Saccharomyces cerevisiae S288C: one gene and its partners. Changing the gene in region 2 together with the main gene of any one other region gives a genetic interaction. Each region holds a gene or a part of one and is shown on either strand. Other genes may lie near its edges.

Region 1 (8,442 bases), on a different chromosome or scaffold from region 2:
GAATCCTCAAAATGGGATCTATATTTCTACATACTAATATTACGATTATTCCTCATTCCGTTTTATATGTTTATATTCATTGATCCTATTACATTATCAATCCTTGCGTTTCAGCTTCCTCTAACATCGATGACAGCTTCTCATAACTTATGTCATCATCTTAACACCGTATATGATAATATATTGATAATATAACTATTAGTTGATAGACGATAGTGGATTTTTATTCCAACAGTTTTGTTATAAGGTTGTTTCATATGTGTTTTATGAACGTTTAGGATGACGTATTGTCATACTGACGTATCTCATTTTGAGATACAACACAGTGGGCTAAGAATATACAACCGTTTTAGTCAATGTGTTGAAATATCATATTTTAATGCATTGCTCGAATCTCTTCCTTCGACTTACTTATATTGATTAAGGGTATGTATTTGATCCTTCCACCTGGAAAAACTGAGGACCTTACAGTGTTATTAAGTGTATGATGTATCACTGTCGTTGTAGTATTTCTCGGGAAGTTTTTCACTGGCAATTGGAGGTTGCTAGAGTTTCTTTTAACGCATACCCTAAACGCTTGTTTCTATTTTAATGACTACTTGAATCCTATCTAACTGGTGACACAATTTGTTTCATTTTTTAATATCTCACCTAATATATCCTAATAATATGAACATACCATAGCTCTTGTAAAGCTGGTCCATATTTATGTTTAGTTTCCGAATGCTTTTGTAAGGAAACGGGTTGTGGAAAAAAAAAAATACAACTACGTTGCCGCGAATCTTGTTGAAAAAGGTCTCAAATTAAGGCAAAAATGATACTGGAATTGTTAGTCTTGTATAATCGATCAACTGCAACAACCAAGTCTTTAAATTTTCAGTCCGTCTTGAAAGAATAGTGAAGGTTCATTTTTATTTTTACATAGTAAAGTTTATAGAATTATGGGCGATACACAATATAAATGTTCTAACCCAACTGATGCATATCATCACTGTACGTTTGAAAATCGGACAGGCAAACTGGATAAATGGAAAACGCAATTACAAAGGGTATGAAAATGAATGTAAGAAGTGAAACAGTGCCTCGAAACAGTTCCCAAACTCTCTACGACTTCATTAGTCATTTCACGTCCATATATCAAAACATATATCAATATTCCTTAGCGTATGCCCTTCTTACGGCGTCTCTTCTCCTCTTCATGCTTTTTTAACCAAGCTTCCTCACGTTTATCCTCTAACCTTGCCATTTTTCTTGCCATTTCCTCCTCTTCCAAGATTTCCATCTCATTTGCTTCCATATCATCATCCTCAAGCTCATCGTAATCGTATTCTGACCGCTTCTTGCCTCTATTGAACATAGCCCAAATTTCGTCACGATCATATCCGGGACCATTGCTGTGTTTCGATTTGCTGTGGTAACCTTCATCTTCATCGTCTTCTATAAAATCATCCATATCGTTATCTTCTTCATCATAGTCATCCTGGTATCTTGATTTCTGTTTTCTAGATTCTAACTTTTCTTTTAATCTCCTATTAGGTTGAGCAAATCCATTTGTGGGCAAGTTGAGCTTGACGGGCTTGGGTGAGTCTGATGATTTTATGCTATTGCCTCCAGAAGATACTCCACGCAATGTTGCGCCAGGGGATGCTTTCTTTTGTGGTCTTTTTGAACTTTTGAAACCTGGCTTGTTAAAATGTGGGCGTTCCTTAGTTACGGGTTCCGATGACTTAACTTTTGGGGGCTGTTTCTCATTATTTTCCGCTTGTTTCATTAGCTCTTCAAATGACATCTTTTTGATAGGTTCAGGTTTCTTCCTTACAACTGGCTTGAGTGGCGCATGACTTGCTCCAATAGACCTCTTAAACCTAATTCCAAGGCCACCTTCATCATCGTCATTCCTTTCTATTTTCTTTTTCTCAGATCCAGATGAGGTGCCACGTTTCCGTTTTACACCACTTTTTTTAGCCAAAGCACCATTCTTTAACAGTTCCTGCCGCCTCAGCTCCTTCAATCTTTTTACTGCAGGATCTTCGTCTCTTATGTAATTTTTGGGTAACAAGGAATACTCTTCGTCATTCTTCTTGGGTAATGGATCTTGCACTTGGGCTTTTGATGCAGTCGTTGATTTTCGTATTTGGGAAAGTTTGGAAAGAAAACTCATAACTAAAATATTTCACTTTGAATAGGACTCAAGTCCCTGTCCCTCTCATCAACTTTTATTTTCAAATTACACTAGTTATTTTATTGTATTCATATATTAATCTGTGGCACTTGTCCATGTGGGAATATCTTAGTCGAACAAGAAAAATAATCATGTTAAACGAAAAAGTTTGAAGCCAACTAAGTTCTCATTCATTACAAAGTATATACAAAATTCCTGAACATAGAATTTCTTTATTAAAAACATACTTTCCTAATTATTCAAACCGTTTCAGCCTCATTTCAGTCTGATTCCTCTGACATCTCTAGTTCTTTCATAAAATCCGAATAATCCTCCCCGACATCGTCGTCTGTAGCACTTTCCTCCGCTTTGTCAACAGAAACATAATCTAAACTATCTTCTGGCTCTGAAGGTTCACTATACGGCCTTGCTTCGTGGTTTGCTATACCTGGTAGGAACCCACCTCCCATAAAAGTCTCCGTATTATCGTGATTGTCCGCAATATTCTGTTCCTTCGTAACGTTAGGTTCTTCCTCGGCAATTTTACCATATGTGGAGTTCAGCTTGCTACGAATACGCAGTTTTAGCAGTAAAGTATTCCAACTCTCCAAAGCACCAAGCAAATGTTCCTTCCTATTATCATCCTCTTGAATAAACTCTATTCCATCAATAGCGGTTTCAATAGCTTCTCTGAGCCACTTTGCAACAACAATGCCACTTAAAACTGGCTTAACTGTACTGCCGCGTTCAAACTTAAAAGAAGTTACAGCAGGTGCAAATTCCACCCCCAAAAACCTAGCAGCTTTAATTGCCACAGGATTCTCAACCAAACAACAGTTACCAGGTATCATCGTTGGTGCAAAAACTTCGATGTTTCCAAATGTATTCTTGGTTATTTCACCGCTCGCACTGGCTAATGGAGGGATGTATAATTCTGTGTCTTCAAAGCTATATAATCTTTCATCTTCTTCTTCTGCTTCGCCCTTAGGCCTTCCAACTGTCCTCTTTATCACCTTTTTACACCTGCTACCAGTTTTTAAAATTCGGCCGTTCATGTACCATTGTCTAGCACTTTTCAAATCCGCAATATCTCTTTTTGCATAAACTTTCAAAACCTTCCCAACTTTTCCATGTACTTTTAAATATCCACACTCTTTACATCCTGGCTTTACAATTTGAGTCTGTTTGATATCTTGTTCTAAAACATAATATGGGTGGTTTTTCAAATCCTGCACCGAATCTGGTATGCCTTCACTTTCATCTCTCTGAAAAAAATATTGATCTTCGTAATCATCAATTTTGGTTCTCTTTCTATGGTGAAGTGCTGTTATCACTTTTCTGAACCATTTCTCACCAAAGTCATCTTTAGTAATTCTTCTTTTTCTTACTTTAGAGTTCATCCATTGGGCATATCTTCGAGTTACATCTCTACAGCCATACTTCCGATCGTAAGCAATCACGTACCTCAACATATTTCTTTCGCAGCACGCCACGCCTTTCGGTGCCAACTTGGAATGAAGTCTGACCTGTTCAATGGTTTTGAGATTTACTGGGTCAACAGTTATCCATTTCTTAGAGAATTTGTCCCACACTTCACACCAAAAAATCGGATACTTGACCATATCTTTGTACGCATTGTTTCCATTCAAAGAAGTGTCAATCTTCATATTGGTAAAATCTGGCGGTTGACATGACATGATAAGTCGTGCGTTAACATTACAAGCCCTGAGCATCGCAACGAAACCTTGCACTGAAATATCAGGATCTCCGTGACCTTTACTGACGGCCCTTAAAAAGTCAGATCTTTTCAACGTCTTGAATTTTCTTTTGTTATTGGCGCTCATTTCAATTTCTTTCCAGGTTCTCATATAAAGTCCCACATTATCATATTTTTTAGTGATCTTCCAGTGTTTTTGCCATAACTCCATGCATTTCTTCAACCCATCTAATAATTTCCTAGTACTCCTAAGTGGGAGTTCCTCATCTTTCTGAGGATGCAGTAGCTCAAACACTTTCTCAGGAACTAAGTTGCTCAGTTTTCTAGACAAGCGCTTGCTGTTAATCCATTCATTTCGTATAAATCCATGAACCATCAAGCAAACTAGATACAACATGTGGAAATATTTTCTCCTTTTCCGTTCTTCATTAGAACAAACGTTGCGGCTTGTCCTTCTAGCATCACTATTCCTTTTACTAGAGGGCTTAATTTCAACAGATATATCTTCTACACCGGCCACCTCATTTCCATCTGTCACGTCTTCAAATTCCTCCGAATCATAATCTTCTTCAGATGACTGGATTTCCTCTACACTATCATCCGTCGGTACCGTAACGACGCCATCATCTGAAGAATCTAAGTTTACAGTAACAACGCTTTCTCGTGGCAATTCATTCAACCCTGTTTTAAACTTCTTCTTGGCATCTGGTAGGGGCTGGTTCTTCCTTCTGACTCTTCTTCTTCTACTCAGGGGCGCTTTTTCTGCCTCTTTCTCGTTAAGAGCCTTCCTTATTAGTTCAAAATATTCCTTGGGCAGGTCTTCATTCATTTTAGCGGAAAAATAGTGTCGTTATGTCTCTGCTTGTCGTCCTGTTTGAACTGCATAAAATTTGCATATATTGTGCATGCATTAAAGGTACTTAACCGCATTTTTCCATTTTCCGCCGCACTATATAGATGGTAGAAAAGCAAGAGGAGAACCTTACATAGTTAATCAAGATATGTATACATATTTCATTCACCTGTATTTATTTACAGTCTCCAATAGAGCAGTCAGATAATGATCGGTAATACGCCCTCGCTCTTTCATGATGGGCATTTGCGCTAGCGCTTGCTCCAGTTTTGCAAGGTATTCATAGTTAGATCCACTAGGTCCATGCGACACGGCAATTACTTTCGCAGTTTCATCCACGGTCTCTGGTCCGACGAAGGCCTCATTATCTATTGTACCAATGTACACCGAAGTAAGTAGTACCCGTTTACCCGATTTGTTGTGCCGAGGCAACTGTTCTAATGCTTCACCCAATTCTGCCTCGTGCTCCCGATTAGTTTCTAGATGCACCTCAACCTCATGTAGAGTGTACCCGTTTTGTTCTCTTACGTTCAAATACTCTCTAACCTCTTGAGCATGTTCTGGTGGTATATAATACACTACCCCTATGGTGACTAAGTCGTCGGGATCCTGGATAGGTGCACTTTCACTATACAAATTCACATTCTTCAAGAAGGCAGTTTGCCTTATAATATCCTCATACGGGATTAGTGTGGCCACTCTTCCTGGGTTTGCAGGTGTACCCCTATGATCAGTGGAACTTTGCCAGAACCGACGAGCAAAACCGTGAATTATTGCCGGTATTCTATGCGTGTAATGAGACGGAGGCTTGTAAATCAGAGATCCGTAGCCTAGGACCCAGATACCACTGTTGTCATTAGTCATTTGGCCATACAACTTTTTATAAGCCCAAACCAACGTCGTGATTGCTTCTTCCAAGGTTAAATCACCTCGAGACTAAACTCATAGCTAATATTGACCTTACCTTTTAGCGTTACCCAGAATACCAATTATCCCGCTCCTTGGCGAATCCAAAAAAAAAAAAAAGGAAAAATTACTGGAGTGGCAAATTTTCTCATTCTCTTCATATAAACCACTAGGGAGGACGTCGAAGAAAAGTCTGCTAGGTGTTGGTGACAACTTCCAAGCTTCCCTTAACACAAGGGAACTATTGATAACCGCTGGTTGACATACGCCTTTAAAAGAGGTCATACGTTGCGACACTCTCTCCCTCCCCTCTCACTGATGTTTTCTGTCTTCAATTTCTGGCAATAATCTTAAGACGAAGCAGTCAAGTCCTAAGGAAGAAAACGATTTTTGATTGTTTTAAGTTGCCACTACGTAGTGGTCAATATGGAAGCCTCTGCGCAATGGAGAAACACGGGTGGCATAGGTCAGCGAACCATACAAGCGAGAACACTCTCATTACTTTATGGATCATCTCAGTATTTCACCGTTCGAGGAAAATCTTCTTTCGCAGGCCGAAGTCACCGTGATATATTTGATACTTTTGAGATATCCTTGAAAGGTAAGCTTCTATGTTGTACGTTTATTTTTTTTAACTTTCTTTGTTTTAGCTTTTACTTCGATGATATGTTACTGCCCCATATACGGTAAAAGATCATACGTTGCCAAAATCAAAAGACATGATTGCCTGTATGTTTTCCTCAGCCCATCAATGCGTAATACGGTCAGCTAAACGCTGCTCACAAGCCAAGGGCTTGCGTGTTGCTCGCGCATCGGTTGGATATCACTGGTAGGCCACTTCTTCAATATTTTGAAAATGAAACACGCTAAAGTTGAAAACTTAATTATCAACCGTCCAGAAGGTGTAGGCAATTTCATCTAAGAGAATAAATTTAACATCCCACGATCCTTATCACATCCCATCCCTACACTAGGACATATGTTCCCAAACATTACAAAGTTCTTTCCTGATATCATTACTGATATAAGATTATGTCAATTATTGATACCATTAAAGACATGTAATATGCAACACTTGTCGAACAGATCATAGTTCAGTAGTCGATTATCATACTGTTACCCTCTCGTTATATAATTTTACTTTTTTTCCTTTCCTTCTTTTCAATTTCGAAACTGTACCACGAGAAACATTGTGTAGAAGAATCTTGTCCTCATTATATCTGGTTAGTACTATCGTATTCTTGTCCGGACATCTAAGTCAAGTTGATAAAAGTTTGGGGTTATCAAGTCAAGATAAGCAAGCTTGCAGAAGTCACCTTCTCTTTTCCGTTACTTCTTTTGTGAATATACACATACTTGTTTCTTCCAAAGGAGAAAATTGAATAAGCCTAAACATCGACCATCATTTTCTTTAATTCGTACTTGAGTTCCACTAGCTTACCTATTCACTAACGACAAAGTTTCTCAAAGGTTTTTATTTTTCATTTGCTTCAAGACTTTTCCGTTATTTCTTTAAACCTATACCCAATTCAAAGCAGAACCTTTTCTAATTTAATTCTCACTTATAATGGCAGCCAAGGATATTTCTACTGAAGTGCTGCAAAATCCTGAACTATATGGGCTGAGGCGGTCACATAGAGCTGCTGCGCATCAACAAAACTACTTCAACGATAGCGATGATGAGGACGATGAAGATAATATTAAACAGTCGAGGAGGAAGAGAATGACCACGATTGAAGACGACGAAGACGAATTTGAAGATGAAGAAGGCGAAGAAGATTCTGGAGAGGACGAAGATGAGGAAGATTTTGAAGAAGATGATGATTATTATGGCTCTCCTATAAAACAAAATCGATCAAAACCGAAATCAAGAACAAAATCAAAGTCTAAATCTAAGCCAAAATCTCAATCTGAAAAGCAATCTACAGTGAAAATACCAACAAGGTTTTCTAATCGTCAAAACAAAACGGTAAATTATAACATCGATTATAGCGATGATGACCTCTTAGAATCTGAAGATGACTATGGTTCCGAGGAGGCTTTATCAGAGGAAAATGTGCATGAAGCATCTGCCAATCCTCAACCAGAGGACTTCCACGGTATTGATATTGTTATCAATCACAGACTAAAGACATCTTTGGAAGAAGGAAAGGTCTTGGAAAAGACTGTTCCTGACCTCAATAACTGCAAGGAAAATTATGAATTCTTAATCAAATGGACAGATGAATCTCATCTCCACAATACCTGGGAAACTTATGAATCCATTGGCCAAGTCCGTGGATTGAAGAGGTTGGACAACTATTGTAAGCAATTCATCATCGAAGATCAACAAGTAAGATTAGATCCATACGTTACCGCCGAAGATATAGAGATCATGGACATGGAACGTGAACGTAGGCTTGATGAATTTGAGGAGTTCCACGTGCCAGAAAGGATTATTGATAGCCAACGTGCTTCGTTGGAAGACGGCACCTCACAATTACAGTATTTAGTTAAATGGCGTCGTCTAAATTACGACGAGGCTACTTGGGAGAATGCCACAGATATCGTGAAATTGGCACCTGAACAAGTGAAACATTTTCAAAACAGAGAAAACTCTAAGATCCTCCCACAATATTCCAGTAATTATACTTCACAGAGACCGCGTTTTGAGAAGTTAAGCGTGCAACCTCCGTTCATTAAAGGTGGGGAATTAAGAGATTTTCAACTAACTGGTATTAATTGGATGGCATTTTTGTGGTCCAAAGGTGATAATGGTATACTGGCAGATGAGATGGGCCTGGGAAAAACGGTCCAGACTGTCGC
Region 2 (2,981 bases):
AGCAGCAGGGTGGATTTGAGCAATCCTCATGGGTTTACCAAAGAGGGAGTGGATTTATCGAAGCTGTCACCACAAGAACTAAAATTGTATAAAATGTATGGGAAGCTTCCATCCAAAAAAGATCTGTTAAGACATAAGATGCAGGATCGTCAATATTTTGACAGCGGAGATTATGCATTGAAAAAGGCCGGAGTCATTAAGTCGGATGACGTTATCGTGAATAATTCTAGTAATAATCTACCAGTGACCAATCCTAGCGGTTTAAGAGAGTCTATTATTAGAAGACGTATGAGTAGTAGTAGTGGTGGCGATTCTATCTCGAGACAAGGAAGTATCTCAAGTGGACCTCCACCAAGATCTCCAAATAAATGACTAATGAAGGAATGATATTATGTGGTATTACTTTTTTTTTATCATCACTAGCTTCGGCTAAGCCCTTGCATTTTCAATATTCAATTACCAAATAATATATATATATATATATATATATGTATGTATGGTATACCTTGTGTTACTGATGTGTTTTTTGTTGACGTCATCCTTTTGATTTACTCACATGCTTAGTAAATGAAGGTTGTTGAGGCCTAAAAATCAGCTAAGATTTACACATCGATACTAATCATTGAACGCCCCTATGGGAACACTTAATTGAATAAATATCTGCCCAACTTGCTGAACATCAAAAACCCAAAAAAATAGAAATCTATAAAATACAACGCCAGTGACAACTGCGAGAAACATTGTGAGCAAGTGAACGCACTAAGGGCACCAATTACTAGACCTGGGAAAAAAACGGTTAAAGTGCCATCAAAGAACAACCACAGAACAATGTTTAATAAGCTCCATGCACCAGCTGCCTGCAAAGAGGAGGACCATTCAAGTTTCCTAATACCAAATATTAAGCCCAAAAGAGTATTGGCACATCTTATAAATGATCCTAGGGTGTTTTTGTAAACTGATGACCTGGTTTTTGGCTGGTGTTGATAACGAACGAAAGAGTCAATGAATGGTACTATGGAACCAAAGATAACACCTTCAGTACCAAATACAGCCCAATCAGGCACCATGTCAGGTTCCGCGACGATCTTGTTCTTAATTTCTATACCATGCTTTAAAAAGGATACGATATCTCCCTTTGCCAATTGGTCATTATCAAACAAACATTCTGATATCATGGGGAAGAGTATTCCTGCTATGAATAGAATAAAAAATGCAGCAATAGTATTGATTATTTTCGCATACAATGACCTTTCGTGTCTCGCAGTCGCGGATGGCGGAACCATTTCCAATTGAGAGGCGTTAGACAATAAAGCCTTGTCATAAACATTACCTTCATTCTTGGTAATATCGTCATCATAAAATGAAAACAAAGCGGGCTTAGTCAGCGTATTTATAGCTGTAAAACTTGCGCTTCCCAGCTTATTTCCCAAAGGTGGCAAAGCTGCCTCTTTCTTGGTATTATGGACACCATTAGGAACACCTCCAGTGTTTAATTGGTTCTTACTCTTCTTCTTGCCCATTAGTAACCTCCTCTGTTTAAATTTTTTTTTTCTCACTTGCTCTGAATACCAAAAGGTGAGTTTGGTGAAGAAATTTTGACACTTTTTCTTTTGCGCTGTATTTTGTAACAACGCATATTTTGAAGATATTCTAAATAAGAGAGATTGATTAATGAAGACAGAAGGAATAAAAAGCCCATCGGCAAAATACCATGATATGGCGGGCTCCCAGAGAATCCCTCACAAGAACCCGCACATTCAAAAAGTGGCTGTTTTGCAAAGTAAGCCCAATAAGGAAGATGCGCTAAATTTAATAAAGGAAATCGCACATAAAGTTTCCTATCTAATGAAGGAAAATCACTTCAAAGTGACCAACTTGGTGGAGTTTTACCCACGTGATCAAAGACTCCTGGGAATGAACGTCAACCATGGATCTAAGATAATGTTACGGTTAAGATGCTCCACGGATGAGTTCCAATTTTTACCCATGGAGTGTATAATGGGCACCATGCTGCACGAATTAACTCACAATTTATTCGGTCCACACGACAAAAAGTTCTACAATAAGCTAGATGAGTTGATTGGAAGGCAATGGGTTATTGAACAAAGAGGTTTGTACGACACATTTTTGGGGAACGGTCAACGTCTCGGTGGAAGAGCAAACTTACGTTCAAATAGATATCCTATGACAGGAATAAGTACTAACACAGGGATAGTGAGAAAAAGGGGCAAAGGTGTGAAGTTAGGGAGTTTGCATCCAGAGGGTATATCATCTATAGATAGAGGTAATTCCCCGAGAGAGTTGGCGGCTTTTGCAGCCGAAAGGAGATATAGAGATGATCGCTGGTGCGGAGAGACGAAGAATAACAAAGATCAAATAATAAGTGATAATATTAGCAGCTCCTTAGAAGTTGTAATCCTTGATGATGATGACGAGGTACTCCCGGGAGATACTCTTATCGAAGTTATTGATCTCACTTAATCTCTTGTCCACAGCGAAGAACTCGAAAATTATAAGTATGGTAAATGTCGTTTCGGTTGTAAAGTATACAGATATATTCACATTACAAAAAATGTAAGAAAGACGGTAGTCTTGCAAAAAATGTCATTTCTATATTTAGCAACAACCTAATTTTTGGAAAAAGCCCTTATGAGAAGCAGCTAGACTTGAATTATCGTCATTTGGGTGCTGTTCAGGAGTTCTTAAAGCAGCAGAAGGTTGTTGTTGTGGTTGATAACGAGCGCCAAACTGCTGAGATTGAGTTTGCGCTTGAGGCTGAGATGGAGGTTGGCCTGTTGCACGTAGCTGTTGCTGTTGCTGTTGCTGCTGTTGCAATTGTTGCTCTTGAAGTTGTTGCTCCTGAAGTTTTTGTTGCTGCTGTCTCTTTTGTTGTTCTTGCAGGTATTTCTGCTGGGTTTGATGCTGGTAAGCTTCATAAGAAGTAGGGTCTAACTTTGGTTTATATTGAGAATTGCGCATAT
Region 3 (7,868 bases), on a different chromosome or scaffold from region 2:
ATCATCGAATAGTAAAGAAGTTGAAAAAGAAAGAGCGAAGAAGTTCAGATTTAGCAATACGCTTGAGCAGGTTGAATTAGATAACGGAAAAAAAGTGTGTGCTTTAGACTTGACCACCCCCACAGATTTAGTTAGCTTTGGTCTAATTCCTGAATTAATTGGCAGAGTCCCAATTATAACTGCTCTGCAGCCTCTACAAAGAGACGATTTATTTCATATATTAAAAGAACCTAAAAATGCCTTATTGGATCAATATGAATATATTTTTAAGCAATTTGGGGTAAGATTGTGTGTTACACAAAAGGCGCTAAAGAAAGTTGCTCAATTTGCTCTCAAGGAAGGAACTGGCGCCAGAGGGTTGAGAGGGATAATGGAAAGACTTCTGCTAAACGTTAATTATGATTGCCCGGGTTCTAACATAGCATACGTTTTAATCGACGAAGCTACTGTCGACTCGTTACAGGAAACAGAGCACTCTTTGGCTTCCCAAGTGGACGTAAAATACTATTCTGGTGATGAAAAGGACAGTTTAATTCGTGACGTTTCTGAAGAAGATAAAAAATTAGGAGTTATGCTAGAAAAAGAGTTGGGTCATTCTGCTAACATTCATACCCCAACAATTCCCAAGAGAAGCTTAACATAAAAAAAAATGAATGGTATAGAATATATAAATATAGATGTAATAAATGTAGTAAATGAACAAATAATCTTCCTACAAAGTACTATGCCATGGGAAGTAAAAAAAATTAATAAATATTGGCTAAAGTGTTTCAAATTGGTTCTACGATACTGGGAGACTACTCCTTATCATAATGCTTTTTGTCCAGTAGTAAAAATTGAAGTAATTCTTGAACAATTTAAAAAAAAATTGGAACGGCGGCACAATTATTTGGTATATGGCAGCTTTGGCTTTTGCGCCACCACATACAAAGTTCTAAAGCAGCCAGCGTTGTCATCGATTTTTCCTATGTGTTCTTCCACATATCTTTTGAAAAGAGTGGTGGGGTCGGTATCCTTTGGAGGACAACTACTATCTGGTAGTTGCCTCCTTAACATGTAGTCCCACATATCTAAAGAATTAAATTCATTCAAAAAGCCCATATCTGTTTTGAAGTCACCAGTTTTCAAACTTAGGACCGAGGACTTGATGCCTGTAAACCCTACATCCTTGAATGTCCTCGTTAAGTGTTTTGTAGGATGGATATGTAAGCCTTTATTTATCGCATCAATAGCCATAGCATCAAATGTCTTGTCCCGTTCTTTTGTAGTCAAAAACTCTTCTGATGAATTATTTGCTTTTTCGGCATCGGCGTTGCCAAGAATTCCAGTATAGTATGTGTTTGAAATCCTTAAATCTGGAACAATTGCCAGCGCGTACCCGCCAGGAATTATTGATCTGTATATTTCCCTAAGTAGAGCTTTCCATTTATAATAACTTAAACTTGTCCAGACCCACGGGCATATTACAGCAGGTATAGTGTCTGATGCAAACGGCAGTCTTAATTTTAAATATTCTTTACCATAAATAGCTGCGCTTTTTGCCCTGTCAAGTCCTTCATTTGGAAAGGAGTTATCCGAATTAGAGGATATTGGTGATGACAAAGGTGGTTCATCTTCAGGCTGAAGTTGTGCATTAGAGGACCTCTTCACTTCCTTTGGCAAAATAAATTGGGTCGGTAAATCGATTTCTTTGTAGTTGTTCAAAGTCCGGCAAAAAAAATTCTCCAACCATTCATTTTGATGTGCTTGGTTGGCTGATTTGACATGGGGAGCTTTCTCTGTCCGAGGGGGACTAGAGATATGTGACTGTGGTTGAATTTTTGGAGAAGAAGAAGAAGATATGCTAGGTGAAACTGAAGGGCTTGTAGTATGTGAAGTTGATGCAAGTTGAGAATGCTTTCTCTTGAAAAAGTTGACGAAACCAGATTTTTTAGTAGCCTTGGTAGGGCTCTTCTTCCTTTTGACAGCATCTGCTCCCGAGGACGGCAATGATAAAGATCTACTTGAAGCGAATTGGTCGTTTAGAGGGTCTTCCTCAACTCCCTGATTGAAGTTGTTTCTAGAAATACGTTCTTTTGCATCATCTGTAAAGAACTTTCTATTCATGCAATCATACATATACTCTGAAGCATTGGAAGAATTCAATTCGATAACTTCTTGTTCGTCAGAAACTATTTTCGCTCTTGAACCCTTTCGTGGCAAATAATTTTGTAAGTTTGTTAAATACTCAGGAGCAATTTCACTAGCATTCTTATTCTGAGCGTCATTGTCACTGCTGTCAATCATCCAGGGAGATAAATCTAATGCGAAATCTGCGATGTTCAAGCTTGGTTCATCATACGCCAGCTGCCAACCGCCCAGGGTTTTATGCAGCGGTCTTATTAATAAGATGTCAATTTCGTCTAATGGATCCGATATTACTGGCCTTGGAGAGTTTGCTTCTATATCTAACTGCTGAATATATAATGTAGGGTCACTGATCTTGTTGCTGGTGGTGCTGATTGTTGGATTAGAATGTTGTCTTGTGGTTGGTTTTCTTTTTATTAGTTCCTCCACTACTTCAGATGAAAAGAAGAATGAATTTGATTGCAGTAAAAATTTTTGAGATTGAGCCAACCATAATTGAATCAAGGATTCAATTTCAGAATAATCTTTTAACGGGTCAAACGATGGAAAGCATTTAACCTCAGTCTCTATATTTATGATGTTTTCAATGTTAAATGGATAACATTCAAATGCATATTTCCTAGATTCCAAATATTTTGTTAGGAAATCAATGTACGACCGTAATCTTTTCTTGGCAAATATTAAAGAGTCTTCTGGCGAGGAGTCCATGTTAAAAGATAGAAACAAGTCCATTCTATTAAAGAGCTCATTATGATTCGGGTCGTACATTATTTGTTTGAATTCACCGTCTATGCAAATGTTGATTAAATTATGATTTCCTGAAACGGTTTTGATTAGAAGAGAAGAATCTGATGCCGGTAAAGTGTTCCAGTCCCATTTTTTTCTAGAATGGAGTTTCTTGACAACGTTCGAAGTTGCACCGTGTAGACCACCACCTCCCCGGCCATTGCCGACCATATTGGATACAATGAATCGCGGTGCAGAAGGGTCTGGTGAGTAATTAGCTTTCACTTCGGAAGTCGGAGTTCCGCTTCTATGACTATGTTTATTATTACTTGTATGATGATGATGTAGACCTATTTTGGAAAGCTGAGCGGACTTCAGTTTGGATACTGAGGATGAGGCAGCGGAGTCAGATGATCGTCTTGACGAGTTTGAGAACAAGTCATCCGCCAGTCTAAAGTTTGGCAAATGTAAGGGCGAATCAAAGGACGAGAGCTTATCTGAATGATGGCTTACTTGTGGTGAGTGTGATTCTACTGAACTACTTGATTGCGTGGTTCCATTTCTACTCTCTTTTTCTTGTTTCCCCTTTTCTTTGTCAGCATTTTTATGTTCAGTAATCATTGAACTTGTATGGTTATCATGTGCTTTTAAGTTGGAAATTTTGTTACTGGTTATACTGGTTAACCCCCTATCATTCTTACTATCAATGTTTTTTGCTTCCTTATTGGAGCCCATTGTATTTACTTGAGCAGTTTATAAAAAGTGGATAAATGAGGGGAAAAATAATAAAAAAGAAAATTGAACAATCCTTCAATATGTGTCCTTTAATAATTACTACTACTTTACACACTTCTCCAGTAGCTGCTGCTTGTTTCAGGTGATGTGAACAACGTGTTTCAGCGTTCTTGGTAAGTGTTGGTATGGATCCCTTCTGATGTATTTTCGGCGGCCGCACTAAACTGCGAAAATGGTAATTTAATAAAGGGCTTATAAAGAGGAAAATAATGCAGAGAAACGGTGAGCCCAGACAAGAATGATGATAATGTGTTTTCAACCGATCATTAATGTCACGAGAAACAAATTTCAATGGAACTAAGAGGAAGAGGTCGGATGTTGCCGAGAAAGTAGCACAACGGTGGAAGAGCGTCAGGTATAGTGCTGAAATGGAGAATATGGCTCCGGTCAACAGTAACAATGATAGCGACGACTGCGTCATAGTCAGTGAATCGAAAATCATTGATTTGACTAATCAGGAACAAGATTTGAGTGAGAGAATAGAAACAAACGATACGGCAAAAGGTGCCGTTTTTAAACTAATGAAATCGGACTTCTATGAAAGAGAGGATTTTATGGGAGAAGTAGAGGATATGATTACATTGAAAGATATCTTTGGCACTGAGACACTAAAAAGAAGCATACTCTTCAGTTTCCAATACGAACTTGATTTCTTGTTGAGACAATTCCACCAGAACGTAGAGAACATAACCATCGTCGGCCAAAAGGGTACTATTATGCCTATCGAAGCCCGTGCTATGGACGCGACACTGGCAGTAATATTAAAAAAGGTCAAACTTATTGAAATAACGATGCCCCCATTCGCTTCCCACCATACGAAGCTGATCATAAACTTTTACGATAATGGCGAATGCAAAATATTCTTGCCATCTAACAATTTTACGTCAATGGAGACTAACCTGCCTCAACAGGTGTGTTGGTGCAGTCCCCTTTTGAAAATAGGTAAAGAAGGGCTACCAGTACCGTTTAAGAGAAGCTTGATAGAATACCTCAATTCGTACCACCTGAAAGACATTGACGAATTGATTACAAAAAGCGTAGAGGAAGTTAACTTTGCTCCTTTGAGCGAATTAGAATTTGTATATTCTACGCCCTCCAAATTTCAGTCGTCGGGTTTACTGTCGTTTTACAATAAACTAGAAAAACTTTCTGCTGGCACAAGTGCTAGTGATACTGCAAAACATTATCTATGTCAAACTTCATCCATAGGGACATCTCTATCAAGAGCGCGAGACGAAAACTTATGGACACATCTAATGATTCCTCTGTTTACCGGAATCATGTCCCCTCCAGCAAAGGACACCGCTGGGAGGAAGAAAGCAGAAATACTGCCAACGAATTCATTGATTAATGAATATTCGCAGAGAAAAATCAAGCCGTACATTATTTTCCCCACCGAACAAGAGTTTGTCACCAGTCCCTTAAAGTGGTCCAGTTCCGGGTGGTTTCATTTTCAATATCTTCAGAAAAAGAGCTACTACGAAATGCTGCGAAACAAGTTCAAAGTATTTTACAAGCAAGACCCTGCTATGGTTACTAGAAGACGAGGGACGACGCCCGCGCACTCTAAGTTTTACATGCATTGTGCAACAAACTCCGCAGGGCCCTGTGATGCATCGCAGGTATTTAAAGAACTAGAATGGTGCCTTTATACTTCGGCAAACCTCAGCCAAACAGCATGGGGCACCGTTTCAAGAAAACCACGCAATTATGAAGCAGGAGTGCTTTACCATAGTCGCAGGTTAGCAAATACCAGGAAGGTCACGTGCCGTACTTTTACACGTGACCGTAGAGGCTGCGCGGGTAATCCCACCCATGTGGCCGTGCCATTCACGCTGCCAGTCATACCATACGACTTAGCTGAGGACGAGTGCTTTTGCCTTGCTCGTCATGAGAACGACTAACAAGTAAGAGCGCGATGTTGCTGTCCACTTAGGCATCACTATATGGGGCCAGGAATGGCAAATTTACTTGATAAACTTCAGGCGATTGGATTTTGGTGCTCAGAATATTTTTTTCTCGGGCCGAAAGCGTCTTTAACTATTCCGAGCTAAAGCTTCCGAGTCCTTTATTCGGTCTTTTTTTATTTTTCAAGATTAACTGTATATAAATAGAGATGGTATGATTAAAAGCTCTTTTTAATAGATGCTCCTTCTTGAAATTTACTCCCACTGTGCTGCAAGAGGTTAGACGCTTCACGCACATTTTTGCTACAATGACAAGTGCCGCTACTGTTACTGCTTCGTTCAACGATACTTTTAGCGTATCCGATAATGTCGCCGTTATTGTTCCTGAAACGGACACTCAGGTGACCTACAGGGATCTATCCCACATGGTGGGTCACTTCCAGACCATGTTCACAAATCCTAATTCTCCATTGTACGGAGCTGTTTTCAGACAAGATACAGTGGCGATATCCATGCGTAATGGGCTGGAATTTATCGTCGCTTTCCTCGGTGCTACTATGGACGCTAAAATTGGCGCGCCCTTGAATCCCAATTATAAGGAAAAGGAGTTCAATTTTTATTTGAATGACCTGAAATCTAAGGCGATTTGCGTCCCAAAGGGTACCACAAAGTTACAGAGTTCTGAAATTCTAAAATCTGCCTCCACGTTTGGATGTTTTATCGTAGAGCTGGCCTTCGATGCGACCAGGTTTAGGGTAGAGTATGATATATACTCTCCAGAGGACAACTACAAAAGGGTTATTTACCGGTCTTTGAACAACGCCAAATTTGTCAACACAAATCCCGTTAAATTCCCTGGGTTTGCCCGTTCCAGTGACGTTGCCCTGATTTTGCATACCAGTGGTACCACCTCCACTCCAAAAACGGTGCCTTTGTTACATTTGAACATTGTGAGAAGCACGTTGAACATTGCTAACACTTACAAGCTAACGCCCTTGGACAGATCTTATGTCGTGATGCCTCTTTTCCACGTCCATGGGTTAATTGGTGTTTTACTTTCCACTTTTAGAACTCAGGGTTCTGTTGTGGTTCCCGATGGATTCCATCCAAAGTTATTCTGGGACCAATTTGTTAAGTACAACTGTAATTGGTTCAGTTGCGTTCCCACAATAAGCATGATTATGCTGAACATGCCCAAACCAAACCCTTTCCCACACATTAGATTCATCAGATCGTGTTCTTCTGCTTTGGCTCCAGCAACGTTCCATAAGCTGGAGAAGGAATTCAATGCACCTGTCTTGGAGGCCTATGCGATGACCGAAGCATCACATCAAATGACCTCAAACAATCTGCCTCCAGGAAAGAGAAAGCCTGGTACTGTGGGCCAGCCACAAGGAGTCACCGTCGTCATTCTAGATGACAATGACAATGTCTTGCCCCCGGGCAAAGTCGGCGAAGTTTCCATCAGAGGCGAAAACGTCACTTTGGGGTATGCTAATAATCCAAAAGCTAACAAGGAGAACTTCACCAAGAGAGAGAACTATTTCAGAACCGGTGACCAAGGTTATTTCGACCCTGAGGGGTTTTTGGTCCTTACAGGCAGAATCAAAGAGCTTATCAACAGGGGTGGTGAAAAGATTTCACCCATTGAGCTCGACGGCATTATGCTATCGCATCCAAAGATCGATGAAGCCGTTGCATTTGGTGTTCCCGACGATATGTACGGCCAAGTAGTTCAAGCCGCCATTGTTTTGAAGAAGGGAGAAAAAATGACCTACGAAGAACTGGTGAACTTCTTAAAGAAGCACCTAGCCTCTTTCAAAATTCCAACCAAGGTGTACTTTGTTGATAAGCTACCAAAAACCGCTACAGGTAAAATCCAGAGAAGAGTTATCGCAGAAACTTTTGCTAAGAGCAGCAGAAATAAGAGTAAGTTGTAGGCAGTATCCTGTACAATTTTATGCTCTCTGAAAGCTTCTATCTGGCACCCGTTTATATACGCCAATACTTATGTATTTTATCTATCTAATGAAACCACAGTATTTATCATGCCTAAGCTGATTCTTTTTCGTCGCGGCTGTTTCCGGGGTCTGTTTTCCGAGACTTCGAAGTGGGAGAACATGCAAAAGAGACGAGTCTTCAACTAAGAAGTTCTCCGTCATTAAAAGTCATGCGTTTGCACGTTTGCAATAAAAAGAGGTGTATCTACATATACAGGTTAACGATTGCAACAGCGACTCTTGATATTATCTCTGTCAAGTTTCTTCCTTTTGTTAGACTAATTTAGTATCATTTACACACTCGGACGTTAAA
Region 4 (10,341 bases), on a different chromosome or scaffold from region 2:
GCAAACCAGAGCAACCAATAACAATAGGTTACATTTCATCCCAGGAACACAGGATTCAGCATGCAAAGGAAGCTCACGAAAAGTATTTACAAAGGCTTCAAGATTACCAAAACGGCGATTTGGAGAAAGGTATTACATTGAAGAATTATTTATACCAGGGTAGTCAAAGAAAGTTAGAAGACGCAAAATATAATCAGCTTCACCATCCTTTACCAAAGATTATGCTTGGTATTTCGGTATTGTTACTTTTCTACGTTTTGGCCAAGTACAGGAAAAGAATATTCAACAGATCGTCTAAAATAGTTTCTATTAGAGAGGATTAAAATGTTTCGATCCATCCGCTTAATATTCATTCATTTTGTATCACATACATACGTATAAATATACATAACTTACCTCGTCTTTATTATGCCAACCATCATTCCAGGGTTTTACGTAACAGTTCCTCTATGGATTCCTTTTCTAGGTACTTCCCAATCAGCACAATTTTACACTCTTTATTGGATCCGTCATATTTGCCTGGAAAGACATCGTAGGTGTCGCGGACGCCTTGGATTACACGAGCAATGGGGTTCTCTCCTTCAATAAGTATCAGACCTTTAGTTCTTTGTACTTCCCAATCACGGCCGTCATCTCGGCGACGCCCTCCCAGCACTGTCATGGCTCCAAAATTCTTCCACAATAAAGGTTGCAAAAATTGCTTAATAAACTTATTATTATATTCTTCCTCGTTTTTTAATGGTCTGAAAGTAAGCATTATTGTGCCCATTCGATCATCATGAATGGTACCGTTTCCGCTACCACTATCTAAGATGTCAGATATCCGTACACTGTCGTATGCATGAATATCTAGTAAATTTTGAATCGGCGTATCACTATACTTGGTGAAGAACATCGGTGCGATAGAATTTATTTCCCGTACTCTTTCTTTTAATTGTTTGACCATTTCTGGTGAATGTTCGATAGTATCGTATTTGTTCATTATAATTCGATCAGCCATGGCTAGTTGGAAGTGTGCAATAGTCAGATTCCCCTCCAAACCAACTTTGTCACCATGCCAATGGGCATCGATGGAAATATCATCTAAGCATTTTAGTATATGCTCACAATCCAAAACCGTGATGATCCCGTCAATGTAAACGCTGCTATTCAATCCTTCGTCCTGCCAGAACATTTTCGCAATGGGGGCGGGATCTGCAATACCGGAGGTCTCTAAAAGGATATAATCGATTTTACCAGGTGAACGCTCCACCATATCTTCGATGGCTTTAACACCTATATTTTTCAACGAACAACACAGACACCCGTTACCCAAATCCAACCATTCTTGGTAGCTGTTCGATCCATTTTTAATGGTCATAGCCTTTTCGATTTCACTAGAATCTCCAAATTCATTTAAAATTACGGCAATTTTTTTATCTGCACCTTTTAATGCAATTTTTTCCAGCAACGTCGATTTACCTGATCCTAGATAGCCGGTAATAATGCTCACAGGAATACGCTTTTTCTCGTGCACATCTGTTGCGCCTGCAGAAGTGTTCTCCACTTGCTTGTTTACCCTTTCAACTTTTGCATCGCTAACAATATTTCCACCATCATACGAGACATTTTCCAAAATTTCTTGTAGATTATTTTCTTCACCTGTTACGAGGCAGGGTAGTTCACCATCTTCTTCTTCATTGAACTTGATGTTTCTCAATGCAGACATTCTTCCGCTTTAAAAGTTGAAAATTCCTCAATGAAAAGGGTGTTCTTGGCTTTACAAGCGCATTAAACATTTAATATTATATAATATTTATAATATACATGTTATTCCAATAGTGAAAAAAAAAAAAAAATGAAAATGAAAATGAAAAATTCGGCCCTTAAAAATGAACAACCTTTTACCAGCCGGCATTAAATGTCGTGGCACTTCACAGTTTATAACGCAAGGAATTTACTAATAGCAAGTGAAACCATTAACGATTAGTGTTGTTAAAAGAGTTGAATAAAGCCATTAAACAACGATTCAGTTGACAATGCGTTGGTCTGTCCTTGATACAGTGCTATTGACCGTGATTTCCTTTCATCTAATCCAAGCTCCATTCACCAAGGTGGAAGAGAGTTTTAATATTCAAGCCATTCATGATATTTTAACCTACAGCGTATTTGATATCTCCCAATATGACCACTTGAAATTTCCTGGAGTAGTCCCTAGAACATTCGTTGGTGCTGTGATTATTGCAATGCTTTCGAGACCTTATCTTTACTTGAGTTCTTTGATCCAAACTTCCAGGCCTACGTCTATAGATGTTCAATTGGTCGTTAGGGGGATTGTTGGCCTCACCAATGGGCTTTCTTTTATCTATTTAAAGAATTGTTTGCAAGATATGTTTGATGAAATCACTGAAAAGAAAAAGGAAGAAAATGAAGACAAGGATATATACATTTACGATAGCGCTGGTACATGGTTTCTTTTATTTTTAATTGGCAGTTTCCACCTCATGTTCTACAGCACTAGGACTCTGCCTAATTTTGTCATGACTCTGCCTCTAACCAACGTCGCATTGGGGTGGGTTTTATTGGGTCGTTATAATGCAGCTATATTCCTATCTGCGCTCGTGGCAATTGTATTTAGACTGGAAGTGTCAGCTCTCAGTGCTGGTATTGCTCTATTTAGCGTCATCTTCAAGAAGATTTCTTTATTCGATGCTATCAAATTCGGTATCTTTGGCTTGGGACTTGGTTCCGCCATCAGTATCACCGTTGATTCATATTTCTGGCAAGAATGGTGTCTACCTGAGGTAGATGGTTTCTTGTTCAACGTGGTTGCGGGTTACGCTTCCAAGTGGGGTGTGGAGCCAGTTACTGCTTATTTCACGCATTACTTGAGAATGATGTTTATGCCACCAACTGTTTTACTATTGAATTACTTCGGCTATAAATTAGCACCTGCAAAATTAAAAATTGTCTCACTAGCATCTCTTTTCCACATTATCGTCTTATCCTTTCAACCTCACAAAGAATGGAGATTCATCATCTACGCTGTTCCATCTATCATGTTGCTAGGTGCCACAGGAGCAGCACATCTATGGGAGAATATGAAAGTAAAAAAGATTACCAATGTTTTATGTTTGGCTATATTGCCCTTATCTATAATGACCTCCTTTTTCATTTCAATGGCGTTCTTGTATATATCAAGAATGAATTATCCAGGCGGCGAGGCTTTAACTTCTTTTAATGACATGATTGTGGAAAAAAATATTACAAACGCTACAGTTCATATCAGCATACCTCCTTGCATGACAGGTGTCACTTTATTTGGTGAATTGAACTACGGTGTGTACGGCATCAATTACGATAAGACTGAAAATACGACTTTACTGCAGGAAATGTGGCCCTCCTTTGATTTCTTGATCACCCACGAGCCAACCGCCTCTCAATTGCCATTCGAGAATAAGACTACCAACCATTGGGAGCTAGTTAACACAACAAAGATGTTTACTGGATTTGACCCAACCTACATTAAGAACTTTGTTTTCCAAGAGAGAGTGAATGTTTTGTCTCTACTCAAACAGATCATTTTCGACAAGACCCCTACCGTTTTTTTGAAAGAATTGACGGCCAATTCGATTGTTAAAAGCGATGTCTTCTTCACCTATAAGAGAATCAAACAAGATGAAAAAACTGATTGATAATAGCTAACGTCAATTCCAATAAAATATATAGCGAGCGTTTTACATTAATCCACCTCGACTAGACTTCAAATTTTCACTTTTATATCTTACCTTTATAAATTTCTGTTCTCAAAATCAAAACAATTATAAAAAAATGCTATCATTAATCTTCTATCCTTGAATTAACATTATATACTCTCCCCCCACTACATTATATTTTGATTTTACATATAATACAACAAACCTTCTCAACTTAACTACTCTCTTTCCTCAGTATCTGTAGAGGAAGAATCGTCGCCAAAGGCTATTTCTCTAATTTGTACAATCCAAGGATCCATCAACAGCTCAACCGCACTGGCTCTCTTGGAGGGGTTTTGAATAAGACATCTTTCCAGAAATTTCATACCAGCAGACGACACTTCATCCTTAGTAGGGAATTGTGGGGTATGTCCTGCAGCAACATGGTACATGATAGCCCATTCATTATCTAAGTTAGCCCATGGCCGTCTACCAGTGATCATTTCTAATACCACGCAGCCTAACGACCAAACATCGTCTGCCCCAAGTTTGCCTTTGGTGGTAGATCCAGTGATGGATTCTGGAGCCATGTACATAGGAGTTCCCATCATGTCTAATAGAGCATTTTCGTTATTTTTCACTGCCTTTGAATCAGAAACATGGGTAACATCTTCGTGTTCACCATCTGCGTTTTCGATTTTGTTCATACTTGCCAATCTAGTTCCATTATTAGCAATTTTTTTAGCAGCACCAAAATCAACATACTTAATAACACCATTAAAATCTAGTAGGATGTTTTCGGGTTTAACATCACGGTGAACAATGCCGGATTCATGCAAATATGCAAGTCCTTCTAGCAATTGTAAAGTGTAGACTTGAGTGACCATTTCATCTTCAATACGACCATGCTCCAAAAGAGCTGCTAGGGAACCGCCTTCACAATATTCCATAAAGATGTTAACTTTATCACGATGAACTTCAACACCGTAATATGAAACTATATTTGGATGGTTCAATATCTCTAAGACACTCATTTCCTCCTTGATTAAGGGGAATATTTTTTGCATTGATTTGCTATCTTGAATATTGATTTCCTTGACTGCTAAAATCTCACCATTATCCAAATCAACAGCAGAATATACCCTTCCAAAAGTACCGCCACCAATAAAGTTCCTCTTTTGCCATCTCATAGAAACGTTCGATATGGAAGATGCCAAAGAAACAAGGTACTTGTTACCTTTGTCACTATCATCAATTACTTTACCAGTTTGATGAGGATTCCGCTTTATCCTTTCTTCCAATTCCATTATACTTTGTACTCGGAACTCGGAATTCACTTGTAGCATCATATCATCGTCAAACACATCTTCCAAATCAAGATTTGATCTAGCTTGTTGATTGATTTTCTCAACTTCTATGGAGCGTGCGCCTATTATATCAAAATGAGAAATAAGTAATGACATGCATTCTGAAATTTTTTGTTTTAAAGAAGAAAATTGGCATTCATCAAGAGCTAGTATGTTCCAACCGCTTACCATATGCATCGCGAACTCCATTGACGTGACACACCACCTAAATACCCTTTGATCAGTCGGATCACAGTCTTCAGCTAAGAACTTCAGCCATCCGATACTTAACCGCATCATTAAAAGTATTATAATGGATCTTTTTTCATTGTTGGCAACATTAATTCTCAAAAAGTTCAGACCAAAATCCCTCCCAAAAAGGAAAATATTATTCAATAAATCATTGACAGGACTTACCTTCTTGAACGTGGTCACAATCTTTGTATAGTTCTTCAGAACACTGTACGTGCATCTGAAATATGCTTTATTTATCCTTTGTAAGTTGTTTTTAACCGTTTCTGAGGAAGATTTTTTTTCCAAGAAAGAAACTGAGCTACCAGATATCTGTTGGAACCTGTCACATTGGTATTCTAAGGCATAACTGGATCCTTGGCACATCAAATCTATTGAATTAGGAATTACTTTCAAGTTCAATCCCTCTGGTTTAATTGTTTTGTTATCGGATAGATTATACATCTCACCCTCCCAAAGTAATGGCTCTTGCGGAGTCAATACCAATACATAACCAAGAGAGTTCAATCTTGTCTCCAGTTCATAAAACTCTTCCTCCGTGCTCCTGCTGTTTTCAAAATCCGGTTCACGATTGACTCTATTACCGTTATAAGATCTAGGCTGGGTGGTCAAATCGTTTTTGATATAATAAAATGGGGTACCATCATTCGAGATATCTGAACCCAGTGATGAGTTGGAGTTCCAATTATCATCCAAAGCATTATAAATTGTCAGACTGTTATTAATTTCTAGCTTAGGCACTAAATCACAACCGATGTCTGAATTCTTAATGATTCTTAAAATATCATCATCTTTACAGCCTAATAGCTCTGGGCTACCAATTAAATAAGTACCATTTTGCTCTAGGTAACCTCCTGTGTATATAAGAAAGTGGCCTGTTTCTTTTAGTTGCTTTAGCAGATAGTTGTGATCTTCTATCTTGTAGCGGACAAAATTTTGAAATGCTTTTGTCAAAATATTGGTGAATCTATTGAGTTTTCTTTTCATGGATCCAAGTATTTCGAATATTTGCACCAGCCATTTTTCAGCAGCAGCTTCATTCTCTAATTTTGGCGGAGTGTTTTGCTGCCTTAAAAGGTAAGCGTGCAATCTGTGAACCAATCTAAGTGTCAACTTCGTAAATTCTGCTGCGATCAGTTCGCCTGCATCATCAATATAATAGCCGACGTTTCTAAACATTTCCCAATATTTTAATAACAGATCAGGTTCTTTAGAAGTCTTGAATGAGTTTTTGCCACTATATAATATTCTCAGTTCCAAAATGGAGAAAAAATATTCCAATCCTTCAACAACGGTATGATCAAATTCGGGATCGATTTTCACTTTAAAAAACCAGTCATTACAGTAAGAAGCAACAGTGAATTTCATTTGGACTGCCAACTTAATATATGTACTAAAATCGTCCATCATTTGATCGATCATCATCAAGGTTGGATTCTGTATTTTCTTCGCGTAAGATAGGCGAATTAGTATTATATCTTTTACCAAACGCATTGGAAACATCAATAAAAATTCCAGATCTTGATCCAAATAAGATAGATTCAATTCATTCCAAGTTTTTTGGTATTTCAAGAAGAAAAATTTGGCCTTCAAAATCCATGGTGCTAATGGAAAGAATATTTTTTTTTGAAATATCAGTTCAATATCCTTTTCCTTCATAATTTGCTCCGCAAAGCGTTTACAATTAGTGGCGAAAACGGCTGGATCATCCAAATTCACGGTGGTGTTATCCACTTCGGTAGTGCTTTCTAGCTCTTTATTGCCAACTATCCATTTTTTCAGGTACGCAATATTAGTATCAAAGTTAAATTTGAAATTAAGCCAACTATTCAAAGTATCTATTCGATTCCTGAATGCTTCTGTTTTAGTAATGGGTTTTTCAGCATGCATTCTTTTAATGTTAGGCCATAGATTTAAGACTCTATAATATTTGTCTACTAGTGATTTGATAGTCTCTGCAGCCTCGTCAGCGCTCATATTATCTTCTAGTTTAAAGGCCATGATTTCTTGAAATACGGAGTCAGTAGAATCCCTAAAAATCCTCAGAGATTTGTTCTGATCTTCCACGGTCCTCCCATTCATCCATGCCTTCAACTCAATCCAAATGTCATCTGAAAACTGAGTATTGAAGCCAGGGCCTTTCCCTTGATTTGCAATCTTCGTTTTTTCATTCCTCACAATATCTCCCTTCAGTACCTTAGATAACATTGTTTGCCATTCAAATCGGTTGTTCACCATAGGATTTTGTAACAATTTTGACAGCAAATCCTCGCTCCCCAGTATGGAATGCCACTCCTCATCTTCTATTTCACACGGTTGATCATTGTTCACATCCCTCAACCAATCCAATTTGCCCTTTAGATAATTTAGGCTCATCGAAACAACATTTTCATTATTTTTTGTGCTCGACGTAATAAAATTATAACCAAAATTGAAGTCGTTATCTTTATCCTCACCTTCTACCTTTAAAAGATCATCCATTTCTAGTTCTAAGTCATCTTCACCTTTGTTACTAAAATTTTCTTCGTCATCTTCAAAGTTGGATGATGCGACTATACCTCTAGTGTAATAATCATCATTAGCACGGTTTCTCATTTTTCTTAAATATAACTGTTCATTTAATACATATTGTTTTTTGTATGTTCGGAGGCTCGTTGTGCTTCCACCATGGTGGCCTACAGACCGTTGCGAGCTATTTGTCGTGACAATATCCTGCAAAGTGGAGGAACTTGTTGACCCATTTGGTTGCGATCTGGTGGGAATGTGTTTGTTCGAAGTTTGGTTTGTAATATTTTGTGGCGTTGACATAATCGATGTATTCGTTGTATTTAGTGAAGCCAGTTCTGGTGATATCACTAACGTTGGGGTCGTCAATAATGGATCTTGATTACTATTCACGGGAGCGGGCTTCTTAATAATCTCGCTCTCTGTTTTACTAGCCTCAACTTTCTTATGTACAGGAACAGGTTGAGTAGACAACTTCGGTAGAGACTGCTGAGGATTTTTTGGTAGAGGAAGACCAATATTCGAGGGCCGTCTACTAGATCTTGCCGAGGAGCTGGAGGACCCAGAAATGGCATTTTGATGAAAAAACTGACCTTGAGGTATACCCGGAAGACGATTGAATAGCTGTACTGTATTTAATGGAGACTCTCCAGGGCTGTAAACAGCGTTTGGTGATCTAAAGTACTGGGTAGAATGCAGCCCTGGGCTGATGGGCGATGACGCTACTCGAGCCTGCGTAGTATTGGAATTTCGCCCTAAACTTTCCGACCTTAGTCTAGATGAAGATGATGAAGATGACTGCCTCATCTTGGAGCTGCTGGGCTTTTCCGTGGAATCGCCGTAAGGCTTATAATTGAAGTAGTCTGAATGCGACATTATTTGTGCCTGTCAAATAGTTTACGCAAAGGCTTCTCTTCTTTTTAGTAATGGCAGACTGTTTGTACTTGAAACTGCCCAATAGTAACTTGAAGGACAGACGGAGCTCACACAAAAGTTAACAAATATGCTGGAACCTTTTTTTTTCCTTTGAATTCTTTGTAAACCAGTAATTCGTTTTGAAAACACCCGTTCTTAGCTGTTCTTTAACAGTACTACTCTCTAAGGCAATAACACACTGGGGCAGCAACAATTACAATCTTCTAACCTCTTCTAATCTGCAGATTTGGCTTCTTTCTATCTCTGTTTACCCACCTTTATCACTCTTTTCAGATTAATCAATTCTTTCCATACAAAGAAACGCCCGAAAAGTGGCGCGAGTTTCCCGGGTGATGGAGCAGTAATTAATAATGCAAAACTGCTAAAATACCCACTGTTTCAGGGTATGAAACGCGGTATTTTCAGCGAGTTGTAGGTAATTTGGAACAGTTCGTGACTGTTTATTAAGTTCCACTCATTGCAGTTGTATCCCCACTGTGTACTTTTATTTTTGGTTAGAGAATTGGCCCAGTAGAGATGGAATTGGACGAATGTTTAGAAAGGCTATACAAGGCCCAGTTACTACCTGAAGTGACTGTAAGGGCACTCTGCTTTAAGCTGAAGGAAATGCTAGTGAAGGAGTCAAACGTGATTCACATTCAGACCCCTGTCACAGTCGTGGGGGATATGCATGGACAGTTTCACGATATGCTGGAGATCTTCCAAATAGGCGGCCCTGTTCCTGATACGAATTATCTGTTCTTGGGCGACTATGTAGACAGGGGGTTGTACAGTGTGGAAACAATTATGCTATTGATTGTGCTTAAGCTTCGATATCCTAGTAGAATTCATCTTTTGAGGGGAAACCACGAGTCACGTCAAATCACGCAGAGCTATGGTTTCTACACGGAGTGCTTGAACAAGTACGGTGGCAATTCAAGAGTTTGGCAATATTTGACAGATATATTTGACTATCTAGTGTTATGCTGTATTATCGACGACGAAATTTTTTGTGTTCATGGTGGGCTCTCGCCCAATGTTCAAACCATAGATCAGATCAAGATTATTGATAGATTTCGAGAAATTCCACACGATGGCGCCATGGCAGACTTGGTTTGGTCTGATCCGGAAGAAAACAATAACCCCACGTTAGATCATCCAGATAACTCTGGACAACATTTCCAGGTGTCACCTCGTGGAGCAGGTTATACTTTCGGAAGAAGCGTGGTGGAGAAATTCTTACGTATGAACGATATGAACAGAATATACAGAGCCCATCAGTTATGTAACGAAGGTTACCAGATATATTTTGATGGATTGGTTACTACTGTATGGTCGGCGCCAAACTATTGTTATCGGTGCGGCAATAAAGCATCTATTCTGGAGCTGTATAGTAAAGATCAATTCTACTTCAACGTTTTCGAAGAGGCACCTGAAAATAAACTGTTGAAAGAGAACAGTATGAACGACAATGCCTTAGAAGATAGCATATCTAATCCGGTAGCCAACAGGAAATTGATTGCAGATTATTTCGAAGACGACTCTGCCTCCGCAGATGGCTCCACGGACCCTGAAATGTACATATTTTCAGATGTATACCAAGCCAGATCTGCTTCTAACAGACATGTTGATTACTTCTTGTAGCTTAC

Evidence for each region.
Region 1: mutations in WSS1 (region 2) and RAD4 together harm fitness more than expected from each alone (negative genetic interaction), as found in Saccharomyces cerevisiae (3 studies listed by BioGRID, with this or other methods).
Region 3: mutations in WSS1 (region 2) and TDP1 impair growth when combined (synthetic growth defect), as found in Saccharomyces cerevisiae (9 studies listed by BioGRID, with this or other methods).
Region 4: mutations in WSS1 (region 2) and SSK2 together harm fitness more than expected from each alone (negative genetic interaction), as found in Saccharomyces cerevisiae (3 studies listed by BioGRID).

What each region holds. Positions count from the first base shown.
Region 1 is NC_001137.3:498,188-506,629, forward strand, and holds RAD4 (Rad4p), read right to left. Parts: upstream 4,708-8,442; coding exon 2,443-4,707; downstream 1-2,442. Other genes in the region: SPT2 (Spt2p), read right to left, coding at 1,160-2,161; GCG1 (gamma-glutamylcyclotransferase), read right to left, coding at 4,897-5,595; chromatin-remodeling ATPase CHD1, read left to right, coding at 7,205-8,442. UniProt on the Saccharomyces cerevisiae protein: Involved in nucleotide excision repair of DNA damaged with UV light, bulky adducts, or cross-linking agents.
Region 2 is NC_001140.6:370,078-373,058, forward strand, and holds WSS1 (metalloendopeptidase WSS1), read left to right. Parts: upstream 1-1,671; coding exon 1,672-2,481; downstream 2,482-2,981. Other genes in the region: IGO2 (phosphatase regulator), read left to right, coding at 1-372; NSG1 (Nsg1p), read right to left, coding at 645-1,520; serine/threonine protein kinase YCK1, read right to left, coding at 2,617-2,981. UniProt on the Saccharomyces cerevisiae protein: Metalloendopeptidase that acts selectively on DNA-binding proteins. DNA is needed to bring the protease and substrates together to enable proteolysis.
Region 3 is NC_001134.8:666,347-674,214, reverse strand, and holds TDP1 (tyrosyl-DNA phosphodiesterase 1), read left to right. Parts: upstream 1-3,917; coding exon 3,918-5,552; downstream 5,553-7,868. Other genes in the region: MCX1 (Mcx1p), read left to right, coding at 1-643; YBR225W (uncharacterized protein), read right to left, coding at 886-3,588; PCS60 (Pcs60p), read left to right, coding at 5,864-7,495; YBR221W-A (uncharacterized protein), read right to left, coding at 7,573-7,677. UniProt on the Saccharomyces cerevisiae protein: DNA repair enzyme that can remove a variety of covalent adducts from DNA through hydrolysis of a 3'-phosphodiester bond, giving rise to DNA with a free 3' phosphate.
Region 4 is NC_001146.8:676,781-687,121, forward strand, and holds SSK2 (mitogen-activated protein kinase kinase kinase SSK2), read right to left. Parts: upstream 8,654-10,341; coding exon 3,914-8,653; downstream 1-3,913. Other genes in the region: peptidylprolyl isomerase family protein CPR8, read left to right, coding at 1-323; ZNG1 (GTP-dependent zinc transferase), read right to left, coding at 419-1,708; ALG12 (dolichyl-P-Man:Man(7)GlcNAc(2)-PP-dolichol alpha-1,6-mannosyltransferase), read left to right, coding at 2,019-3,674; putative serine/threonine-protein kinase PPG1, read left to right, coding at 9,230-10,336. UniProt on the Saccharomyces cerevisiae protein: Kinase involved in a signal transduction pathway that is activated by changes in the osmolarity of the extracellular environment. Activates the PBS2 MAP kinase kinase by phosphorylation.